3 linked regions of the Callithrix jacchus genome follow. The protein of the gene in region 3 interacts with the protein of the main gene of each other region in a biochemical or structural test. Links are inferred from orthologs where the notes say so. Each region holds a gene or a part of one and is shown on either strand. Other genes may lie near its edges.

Region 1 (4,283 bases), on a different chromosome or scaffold from region 3:
GCAGCAGAACTGCTTGAACCCGGGAGATGGAGGTGGCAGTGAGCCAAGATAGTGCCACTGCACTCCAGCGTGGGGACAGAGCAAGGCTCCATCTCAAAAAAAAAAAAAAAAGAAAAAAGAAAATATATGGGAAAGTTCTAGGCTGGTTTGGCTGACTAAGAGAAATCAAGGAAAGGAAGAGTTTGTGTCCAAGTCAAGGCCAGAGAATTAAAATGGAAACAGCACACCTGGAGGCTGCCATGCAGTGGGCAGCAGTAATTGAAGAATAAGGGACACAGAAAAGGAAAGGGCAGAAGGGCAGCTGGCAATATGCAACCAAAAGTCTCACTGTCTGGTACACACAAGAAAAAATGGTCTGTCAATGGAATCCATCAGAGGAGCCACCCACAACCCCATGACTTGCCTGCTGGTGACAATGATGACATCCTCTGCAATGCAAGACATCTCCTTGATGGTCAAGTAGCACATTCGACGGAGTGTTGGCTGAGAGATAGGTGGGAAAAGCCTATCAGCCCAGGCTTACCGAGGGCCAGAGTTGGGAGAAGAAATCTCCTATCTACACAAAGGCAGCCCACACTGACTGGTGGGGCCAGCACCCCTTGGCCTCCCATCACCTTGTCACAGCTGCCACCTGTCAAAAAAAAGCTGGGTCAGGGCACTTACATCATTGGACTGAAAGAGCTTGGTCATGGCAAAGAAAGCCTCGGTCGCTTCCGTGGTCCCCAGGTGCTCCCCCTGTGTTAATCAAGAAAGAAGTCTCAGCTTGGGACAGAGTCGTCAGACAGCTCTTCCTGCAGGATCAGCCCACACCAGATCCTCAGACCCTAAAGACGCTCAAAGGCAACACATGAGACTTGGATGCTGAGGGGACCCAGAGCTGCCCTGTTGTCTACAACCATACAGAGGCCGTCCAATAGCCTAAGAGTGATCATGATTTGTCCACTCCCCTCCAATCCCCCAGCACCATTCTCCCTACCTCCAAGCCTCACCCTGTTACCTGGTTTATGAGATAAAGAATCTTGGTGAGGATGTGGGCACATTTCCGAGGGTTGATGGGAGTTTCATTAAATACACGGGCCTAAGAAGAAGTAACCAAGGATGTTATCTTCCAGCCTAGTTCATTTCCTTTCAAGTATATTAAATATCTGAGAAGTCTCAGGGTAAATAGACTTGTCTAAACAGGGCTTTCTGGGTATGCAACAAGCTTCTTTTCATAATTAGTTTTTTTTTAATTCAACCACTAATTATTCTTAGACTCTTGTGTAAATATTAGTTAGGGATGTGCTAACATACCGATTAGCAGATACTTAGCAAATATCTGCTAACTGGAAAGAGAAACAATGAATGACAACAATAAAGAAGTAAGCAGCTGGGCACAGTGGCTCACGCCTGTAATCCTAGCACTGAGAGGCTAAGGCAGGTGGATCACCTGAGGTCAAGAGTTTGAGATCAGCCTGGCCAACATGGTGAAACCCCGTCTCTACTAAAAGTACAAAATTAGCCAGGTGTAGTGGTGGGTGCATGTAATCTCAGTTTCTCAAGAGGCTGAGTCAAGAGAATTGCTGGAACCCAGTAGGAGGAGGTTGCTGTAAACCGAGATCGTGCCATTGTGCTCCAGCCTGGGCCAACAACAGGGAGACTCTGTCTCAAAAAAAAAAAGAAAAGAAAAGAAGTAAGCATAACGAATTGTCTCCAGGAACAAAGTTTTCCTGTCTTCCAGGCACAAGTTTTCTCCCGTGTTGCTCTTTAAAACAATACTTTGAATGTGTTGGTATTTCAGTTGCCCTGATGGTGAATATTTATGATGGAAGCTAGAGGGGAGCAAACGTCACTTGCCTCCTGGAGTACCGCACTCTTCTCAAGGTGCTGGAACGGGTTGGAGCCTCCACCTACAGTCAAGAACAATGGAGAAGGCAGGTTGTGATTCTGAACTTCTCCCAGACAAAGATAAAGGGAAGATGTCCCTTCCTAGCAAATCTAGTAAAGTTCAAATTCATCAGCAATGGCAATCAAGGCTCTATAATCTGTCTAGGGATTCTACTAGGGATTCTACCTCAAACCACTCACAATCTCCCAACAGCCCTGATACAGTCTTATGCTTCTTACGGTGCCATGTCTTGCGTTCATTTATATAACTCGTAATTAAGTCCCTGTGTGCCAGGGACCACCATCTTCCTGTAACCAGTTCCTTCATAGCAGACGTCACATTTGCAAATAATGAGATTATCTGGTTGATGTCCGTCTCCTCCACCGTGTGTGCGACCATTCTAATATTCCCAGATCAGTCACTGAGTATCCTACTTGCTCTGTTGCAGTATCCAGGACACCGTACGGTGCCTGGCATACAGTAACCGCTCAACACACTTTGCTGAATAAATGAATGATGGAGTCAGAGTTCCCAGCCACAAGACACTGGCTCCGCAAATTACACCCCAGTTTGGCCAACACCGACATAGCCCCGGCGAACCTCAAGAGGGTGGACGAAGAAAGTAACAAGAGACCATTCGGCCCGGTGCCCTCCTTTGACAAATGGGCAAACTGGGGCCTAAAGAGGGGCGTGACGCACCCAAGGTCATTCAGAAAATTGCAGTCCGAGCTTACAACCGAGACAGCCAAGCATGCTCGGGCTCTCCGAGGCCTGCCACTGACTAGCTGCGGACCCTGGCACAAGCTCCTGCTCCTCACTGGGCCTCAGAATTCGGGTCAGGGCAGAGGCCCCAAAGGAAGGCTCGGCGAGTGGGGGGGTCCCGCTTCCCCCCAGGCCCAGGCCTGGCCCTCTCACCTGACTCCTCGTCCTTCTTGTCGAATTTCTTCAACATAGTGGAGCCGGTGGGACGCAACGCAGCAACGCAATGCTCGACGAGCGCGGCAAGGAATAGCCGAGCGACGACAGTTTTACAGGGACCACTTCCGGACTCCAACCGGCCACGTCGCCCTGCACTCTGCGCAGGCGCACTCCGCGCTCTGCGTCTGCGCATATTCCGGCCGGCGCAGGCTGTCTGTCTCCGCCGGAGAAGGAGTGGGGAAAGCCGGAGGGAGGGGCGAGGGCCTAAGTAGGAGGGTTGAGGGCTAGATGCTGGGGTTACTGACTAGCGTAACTCTGCGCCCTACGTCTCTTTTCGTGTACTAAGAGAAGCCCCTGCCTTGTTGTGTTGTGGCGTCAGTCCTTGTGGCTTTCGCGTTTGAGGTTGGTGGCACACACTGGCCAGCAGTAAACACCCAGTTGATGTGACCGGTCTATTGCCACCTTCCGAGGGAGACTTGCCAGCCGCTCCTCGCTTTCAGTTTCTTTCCCCCGCCTGATTTCCTCCCTAGCTCTAATTGCCATTTAACACTCTTTATTTTTACTTTCTGGCATTTAATTAATTAATTTATTTATTTATTTGCTTACTGAAAAAGGGTCTTGTTCTGCTGCCCAGGCTGTAGTGCAGTTGCGCGATCTCGGCTCACTGCAGCCTATACCTGCCGGGCCACCGCACCAGGCTGGTTTTTTTTTTTTTTTTTTTTTTTAAGACGGGGGTTTCACCATGTTGGTCAGGCTGGTCTTGAACTCCCGACCTCAGGTGATCCGCCTGCCTTGGCCTCCAAAGTGCTTGAATTACAGACGTGAGCCACCACGCCCGGCCGCTGTTTTGTTGTTGTTGTTGTTGTTTGTTTTGTCTTTTATTCACCGTAGTGGATAATGTCACATAGTAGTTGCTCAGTGAGTTCTCGTAGAATGAATGCATGAAACTGCACTTTTATCATATCCCTGGGCCCTAGCTCATCTGCTCCTGATGCAAATTGTCTTGTATGTTAATCAAGTTTAAGGGATCTACCTAAACAGCATGGAACTTCAACGTTGTTTTGTAAATACTTAGGATAATTATGGAGTGCCAACTAGATGCGCTGCCTACACGGAAAGGTGGGGGAAAGGGGAAAATGACACATCACCCAAGGTTTATCTTCCTGGGGACCTATGCAGGACACCCTGAAGTTAAGGTAAACACAGTGCATGCCAACGAGCCAGATTGCATTGGCAATGGCAAAGTTTCGATAGCCAAGCGCTGCAACGCGTAGCCCCAGCTTGCTTGGGGAGGAGAAGCCTGCAGTCCTGTGGGCAAGAGAAGGAGTGGGCTGTGGGAGGCTGAGGCAGAGGCCCCAGGTGAAAAGGGTGACAGCAAAACACTAAGGAGGGGAGATGGGGGAGAGGCCAGACCTTAGGGTCATGGCTTTGCAGAGGCTAAGGCCTGGGGCAACAGATCTTGTGACAGGTAAAATTTGAAGAGCCAGAAAGATGTTCA
Region 2 (3,648 bases), on a different chromosome or scaffold from region 3:
TTGTATACCACTGTCAGGCCTTCCAAGAGTGCAATTTCACCTGGTGGAAGAAAAAAGGTAGAGAGAGTAGGTGGCCTGAGATAAGCAAGTAGGAAAGAAGGAGTTACCAGCCAGGCGTGGTGGCACATGCCTGTAATCCCAACACTTTGGGAGGTTGAGGTGGGCAGATCACCTGAGGTCAGGAGTTCAAGACCAGCCTGGGCAATATGATGAAACCCCATCTCTATTAAAAACACAAAAATTAGCCAGCATGGTGACATGCACCTGTAATCCCTGCTACTTGAGAGGCTGACATGGGAGAATCGACTGAACTTGGGAGGCAGAGGTTGCAGTGAGCCACTGCACTCCAGTCTGGGTGAGAGAGAGAGAGACAGACTCCGTCTCAAAAAAAAAAAAGAGTTCCCATGAATGCCTAGTATCCAGCTGTTTTGGGCTAAGGTGAGGCTGACTGTAATCGACTATAATGACCTCCAAAGATAGATGATCTGCACTTTTTGGGTGATGGCAGGAGAAGAGAAGTATAAACTTGGGGGAGTCTAATGTATCTTCTCTAACCATCATCCTCTGCTCCTGCCCACTATACCTATTTCCCTCCTTGTTGTATGTGAGACAGGATACCAGTCGATCCTTCGGAGGTGAAAATGCAGAGCGGTCACCTTTACAGACTTCCATTTACCTGCCCTAATGGATGCGGTACAATAAGCAGAGCTGCAGTTAAATTTGTCAAGTGAGGCTCATAAATCCAGGAACTAGACAGGTAGCTAACAGCCAACCTTCCAGCACGGTATTCCCGCGTGAGGTACACTCACCTCCCCATTACATTTCTGAAGAGTTTATTATACAAGGGGAGGAAGAAAAAAAAGGAAAAGGAGGCAGAGTCATTTCATCCTTTCTCTGCAGCCCTGCTACCACCCGCTTCCCACCATGGTTCCCCCCAACATGAGGAGTAGTGAAAGGAAAATGACCTACTGTCAGTCCGATGGGTCTTGTTGAAAATGTTCTTCTCAAAGGCCTTTTGCTCCTTGACACTGGGGTAGGTGTCGTCATAGTACTGGTCAGAGGGAAAGGAGACAGGGTTGGGTCACTAGAGCTGGAAGCTCAGAATGATTAGTGACTATATTTTGCCCTGGGATCTTGGATTTCTCTCTTTCAAGGCATGGGGCAAGGGAGAAATACTGACATGGAAAAGGAAGGACTATAGAGGCAGAGAATGGGTAGTGAGTAATCTAAGAAAATACATAAAAGACCCTGCCATAAGCAACCCTCCTCACATGTTTAAGACTGTCTGAGGGCAGAAGCCTACCAGCCCTACGGTGAGGCTCTGTGCCTGTGTGCAGTCTAGAGCTCTCCTAAGGGTATTCTCATCAAGTGTTTCCCAGGAGCTACTGCATGGCAGGGAGCAGTGCCAGAGAACACAAAAAACACCAGAAGCACAGAACACTTCCTTAGACCCTCACTCACTGTATGAAGCTGAGGAATGGAGAAAGGCTACAAAAACCTCCTCCAAAGAAAGGCAAACCTTGCCCTATGGTCTATCTTAGCTTTCTTTTCTGCAAGCTGAAAGAACCATCCAGCATACAACAGAGCCCATTCCCAGGCTCTCCCTGGCAAGGGGGCTGAGATCCAGGCTGCTAAATTGCTAGCTCTTTAGGGGCTAATCCGTCGCAGTCAGCTGAAGACCTATGACAGGTCTGGCATTTAGGAACTGGATAACTGTTTCAAAAGGTGTCCTGCATAGTTACATCCAATTACAGGGAGGAACAGCTGGTGAATTCTAAACTAATCTCTACCTGCTGATTGATTTATGCTATGCTTGCCCAGAGTTAATACACCAGGGACAGAAAGAATGTCTACAGGAGGGGGAGAATATGGAGGGAGAGGAGAGGGGTGTCCTTTCTTCTTCCTTCCAACAGATCCAAAGTTGGAAACATCACTCTGGGAAAGTCAGGAGGTAACAAGCTTGATGGTGACTATAGACCTAGGACTGGAACCTTGGGACTGCAAGAGAATTCTCCGGAAAAACCCAGGCAGGGTGACAAGGTAGAAGGGAAGGGGACAGGAATGATGGACATGAGCAGGCTGCCTCTTAGCATCTACATACTGCTTTGTTAGGAACCAAAGTTTCAAAGCTTTTCCCTAATTTGATGCTGACAACAATGGAGGTCAAAGTCTGAGGACAGCAAGCAGGGGAGCAGTACAACTAAGGGACAAAAGAAAACTCGGGTTTTATCTGGAGTAGGCAAGAAAGGATGGAAGAATTCAGGCCAGGCCCAGTGGCTCAAGCCTGTAATGCCAGCACTTTGAGAGGCTGAGGTGGGCAGGATGGCCTGAGGTCAGGAGTTCGAAACTACCCTGGCCAACATGGTGAAACCCTGTCTCTACTAAAAATAGAAAAATTAGATGGGCATGGTGGCAGGCACCTGTAATCTCAGCTACTCAGGAGGCTGAGGCAGGAGAATCACTTGAACCCGGGAGGCAGAGGTTGCAGTGAGCTGAAATCATGCCATTGCACTCCAGCCTGGGCAATAAGAGCAAAACTCCGTCTCAAAAAAAAAAAAAGGCGGGCACCGTGGCTCTTGCCTGTAATCCCAGCACTTTGGGAGGCTGAGGGGGGCAGACCACAAGGTCAGGAGTTTAAGACCAGCCTGACCAACATGGTGAAACCCGTCTCTACTAAAAATACCAAAAAATTAGCCGGGCATGGTGGCACTCGCCTATAATCCCAGCTACTCAGGAGGCTGAGGTGGGAGAATCGCTTGAACCTGGGAAGCAGAGGTTACAGTAAGTCAAGATGGTAATACTGCACTCCAGTCTGGGTGACAGAGCAAGACTCTGTCTCAAAAAAAAAAGAAAGAATTCTCAAAATTATACTACTGAGGTACATGAATTAATAGGGGATCAGTCCCAAGATTCAAATCTCAGAATAAGACTTTGTGCTGTTCCTAAACTAATTCGAAAGGGAATCTCACCTTGGCAAAAAGTCGATCTCCATCATTGTCCAGAATCAGGATGGCTTTGACAGTATACAGGGAAGGTTCCTGAAGAGATATGAACATACCTTCAGTCCTAAAGGCTCCCACTACCACTGGTAAACCAGATAACTTCCCCTAATCCCACTGGGGCTGCAAGGGGATACAGAGGTACCTCTGTAAGTCCCTTACCTCAACATGGTCAGATTTTGATATTTCCCATTGAGAAAGACCCAGAGTAAGTAAACTGAATTGATAGAGAAAACATTTCAACAAAGGATTCCAAAGTATCATCAGAGAAACAGTTTCTCTGCCTCATAGGGGGCTTAATCAAGAGAGGTCATGCTGTTATTTCCAAATATTATGGTACAGTTATTTTCCAAATTACCCTCTCCCTTCCTGCTCTCCCATGCACAGGTGGCTACAGAATGTGACCAGATTAATTAAAAGGCACTGAACAAGGCCATTTCAAAATAGGGTTGTATGTCCTAGTATACTTGGAAGTTTCTGCAGTCCAAATGCAGTAGCAATGCAGAAGCATAAAGCAAGCCTTCCCTAAACAACCCACACACTGAGCAGAGGGAAAAGAGCATTTACATACACACACACACACACACACACACACACGCAGAGAGGCATACCAGTTCTCAATGCAGCCTAGTAAGACAGCCATCTCCCC
Region 3 (3,648 bases):
AACATATATTTCACTGAAGGGGATATATAGATGGCATATGAGCACATGAAAAGATATTCGACATCATTGGCCATTGGAACATGTAAATTAAAACCATATGTGGCATCATTATACACATCTATGTGAATGGTTAAGATAATAATACCAAATGCTGGTGTGGATGTGAAGAAACAATCAATCATACATTGCTGTATGAATTGTATGAGTGGCTATATGTGAAAGATACAACCAGTCTGGAAAAAGAGTAGGGTAGTTTCTTACAAAAATAAATGTTTACCACACAACCCAACAATTGCCCTTTTGAGCATTTATCCCAGAAATGAAAATGTTCACATAAAAACCTGTACATGAATGTTCACAGCAGCTTTATTAGTAAGGGCAAAAAACTGAAAACAACTCTTCTGTCCTTTAGTGGGTGAATGGTTAAGCAAACTGTGGTACATCCATACCATGGAATACTACTCAGCAATCAAAAAGAACTGCCCAGACTTTACCACAATCCAATATATGCACATAAGAAATCTGCACTTATACCCCCTAAATATATAAAACATTTTTTAAAAGAAAAAAAGGAACAAACTATTGATACATGCAACTTGGTTTCAAGAGAATTAACTGAATGAAGAAAAATCAACCTCGTTAAGATTACATTGTATATGATTCCATTCATAGAACATTCTTGAAATGACAAAATTACAGAGATGGTGGACAGAACAGCGGTAGCCACAGGTTGGGGTGAGGGGATAAGGGACGTGGCTGTGGCTGTAAAAGGGCAGCAAAAGGGATCTGTGTGATAGAACTGTTCTGTCTCTTGTGATGGTAGTCACATGAATCCACATGTGATAAAATTGCACAGAACTAAATAAACATACACGAATAAAGTTCAAGCAGTTGAGCACAAATATTTTAATTGCCTGAAATGACATTTTCTTTAAGAGTTATCTACAGTTCAAAGCTCACTTTTATGAAGTGTCACATCCATCACCATTTTCAGAGACATAAAGTCATGAAAACGTATCACCAGAAGCTATGTAAACATTTCAGCTAAGGGTAAAGGGAAAGTTAAGGGTGTTTTCACAAGAAAACTGAAAGAGGGCAATCCGAATGAAGTCAACATGGTCACATAAAATCTTGGTAAAAGAAGTACAATGGAAGCCCAAGCTGCTGAGCAAGTGGGAGAAGAAAAGAAAACATGGTTCAAACAGATCACACAAGGGAACCCAGGACAAATGCTGACTTTGGCATTATCAAGGTAACCCCTGTTTTTTTGTCATAGGTGACTCTAATAATAGACCTATTGTTGCAAAACCAGTCCAAATCCTACCAAATTAAAAAGAAGTCCCTCATTGACTTTTTGGGTGTAGGTGGTACCCCGTGTCCTCCCACACCAAAAGAGATCAGTTCTGGCAAGAAAGCTCCAACGTGCCTTGATGGTGCTATTGGTAGGATGCCTTAGGCCAGATACGTCCCAGCGATGTTCTGCTGGCTGAGGTACAAGGTGGGAGAAGATGTGCCTCAGTCATTCATTACTCAATCAACTTCTTGGCCTTGAAGAAGCGTCGCAGGTAGAAGACCTGCCAGGTGGCTAGTCCAATGAGGCAGAACATTGAAAAGATGCTGAAGTATAGGACCCGAGTGTTTGTTGACTCTAAAAAAAAAAAAGCATTATAAACATAATGAAGTGAGCCTCCTCAGCTGGCTAAACAATGGCAGGGGAGGTGGGTAAAGGCAATTAACTTCACTCTGTTCCTAGGTCTAATAGTAGGATTTCAGCTAATTTTTTTTAAGTTCATTATCCTATATATAAATGTTGAAAATTACAAAGATTGGTGCTATTTGATATGGGTATAGGTTAACAGGATGTTGTCAACTGCATTTATCACAGTAGAAATTTCTACTTTCTTGAAAATCTAACAAGGCTCATTTACCGTTAGAAGCAGCAACAGTGAAGCAAGCAACTTCCCTTCCATTTACCCGTCTTGGCAAAACTGAGAAAAGGGTACACCAGAATTCAAAGTTTGGGAATGGTCTCATTTATGGATCACTTAAGAAGAGTCGCCTTCCCCCTCACCATTGGTATCACGCATCTCCTCTTCTCTCTTCTTCATGTAGGCAAAATCATTAACAATAGATTCTGAAAGGTCTTCTAGGCGTCGCAGCTCCACCTCTAATGGTTTGAGCTTCTCAACTTTTGCAATCTGGAAAAGAATGAATATTTTCAGCTCCCTGAAAACATTGCTTCAGTCAAGAACATAAGGAAGGCAACGGAGGAGTCTTTTTTTTTTTGAGATGGAGTCTCACTCTGTCGCCAGGCTGGAGTGCCGTGGTGTGATCTTGGCTCACTGTAACCTCCATCCAACTCTCCAGCTCAAGCCATTCTCCTGCCTCAGCCTCCCATGTAGCTGAGATTAAAGGCACACACCACCATGCCCAGCTAATTTTTGTATTTTTAGTAGAGATGGGGTTTCACCATGTTGGCTAGGATGGTCTCAATCTCCTGACCTTGTGATCCGCCCGCCTCAGACTCCCAAAGTGCTGGGATTAAAGGCGTGAGCTACTGTGCCAGTCTTAGGAGTCTTATTTTAAAAGTTTCACCAGATTTAAATTCTTCCCTATCAATCATCCTAACATTTTTAAATTTGGGCTTCTTTCTTTCCCTATAGACTATATCTTTCCATTTCAGACCTTTTTTGATACTTTAATTTTGACTAAAATCTCTTTAGAAGTAATATAACAACAGTAGGCTATTAAGTAAGATATACTATTGTCTCAAAATTTTTTGTTTTGAGACAGGGTCTCACTCACTTTGTTGCCCAGGCTGGAGTGCAGTGGCATGTTATCGGCTGATTGCAGGCTCAACCTCCTGGGCTCAAGCAATCATCCTGCCGCCTCAGCTTCCCCAGTAGCTGGGACCACAGTCACGCACTGCCAGCTAATTTTTGTACTTTTTTGTAGAGATGGGGTTTTACCATATTGGCCAGGCTGGTCTCAGACTCCTAAGCTGAAGCAATCTGCCCACCTGAGCCTCCCAAAGTGTTGGGACTACAGGTGTGAGCCACCAGGCCCAGCTGATTTTGGACTTTAGTAAAGCACTTTACTTTGCCCTTCCACTCATGTGTAAGAAGTAAACAATATTATTAATATAATAAATTTGAGAGTCATATTAGGTCAAACCTGATTTCAGAAGAAAAACCACTAAATTCATTAAACCTTGGACAGTACATAGGACTGACAGCATGTTATTAAACATGTGTTATTATAGCATTAAGGTAATAATTCAAAATACACAAGTAGAGAATTCTGGTTTGTTCCGATAAATCCTACAATAACTTTAAGGTTTAATATCAGAGCACAGATGTTAGAAAACTGCACTGATTTTTCTTTTAGAAATAACACAGCCAATTATCAAAAGAAATCTCGAAGGGAATTCCCTGTATACTGAGGAATGAAGGATATGAGAAAGAAATTAACTGTCTCCTGTTCTCAACTTAGACCCCTAAGAAAACTCTAAGAGTATCTAATAACTAGAGGCATGTATCACACCAGCAAAGATTTCATTATTCTATGTTTTTTTCTTAGCAATCTTAGATTATACTTGTCTTTAAAATGGGATAAACCACCAGAGCTTTCCAGAGCTTTTTTCTTTTT

What was found.
Region 1: the proteins of TMED10 (region 3) and COPG1 form a complex in vitro, tested with the Homo sapiens proteins (2 studies listed by BioGRID). The link is inferred for Callithrix jacchus from reciprocal best matches to the Homo sapiens genes TMED10 and COPG1.
Region 2: the proteins of TMED10 (region 3) and COPZ1 form a complex in vitro, tested with the Homo sapiens proteins (2 studies listed by BioGRID, with this or other methods). The link is inferred for Callithrix jacchus from reciprocal best matches to the Homo sapiens genes TMED10 and COPZ1.

The regions. Positions count from the first base shown.
Region 1 is NC_133516.1:72,872,854-72,877,136, forward strand, and holds the start of COPG1 (coatomer subunit gamma-1), read right to left. Parts: upstream 2,920-4,283; 5' UTR 2,820-2,919; coding exon 2,783-2,819; intron 1,890-2,782; coding exon 1,837-1,889; intron 1,079-1,836; coding exon 998-1,078; intron 736-997; coding exon 664-735; intron 484-663; coding exon 404-483; intron 1-403. UniProt on the Homo sapiens protein: The coatomer is a cytosolic protein complex that binds to dilysine motifs and reversibly associates with Golgi non-clathrin-coated vesicles, which further mediate biosynthetic protein transport from the ER, via the Golgi up to the trans Golgi network.
Region 2 is NC_133510.1:65,209,438-65,213,085, forward strand, and holds part of COPZ1 (coatomer subunit zeta-1), read right to left. Parts: intron 3,039-3,648; coding exon 2,970-3,038; intron 1,052-2,969; coding exon 970-1,051; intron 41-969; coding exon 1-40. UniProt on the Homo sapiens protein: The coatomer is a cytosolic protein complex that binds to dilysine motifs and reversibly associates with Golgi non-clathrin-coated vesicles, which further mediate biosynthetic protein transport from the ER, via the Golgi up to the trans Golgi network.
Region 3 is NC_133509.1:110,048,697-110,052,344, forward strand, and holds part of TMED10 (transmembrane emp24 domain-containing protein 10), read right to left. Parts: intron 2,199-3,648; coding exon 2,072-2,198; intron 1,649-2,071; coding exon 1,527-1,648; 3' UTR 1-1,526. UniProt on the Homo sapiens protein: Cargo receptor involved in protein vesicular trafficking and quality control in the endoplasmic reticulum (ER) and Golgi.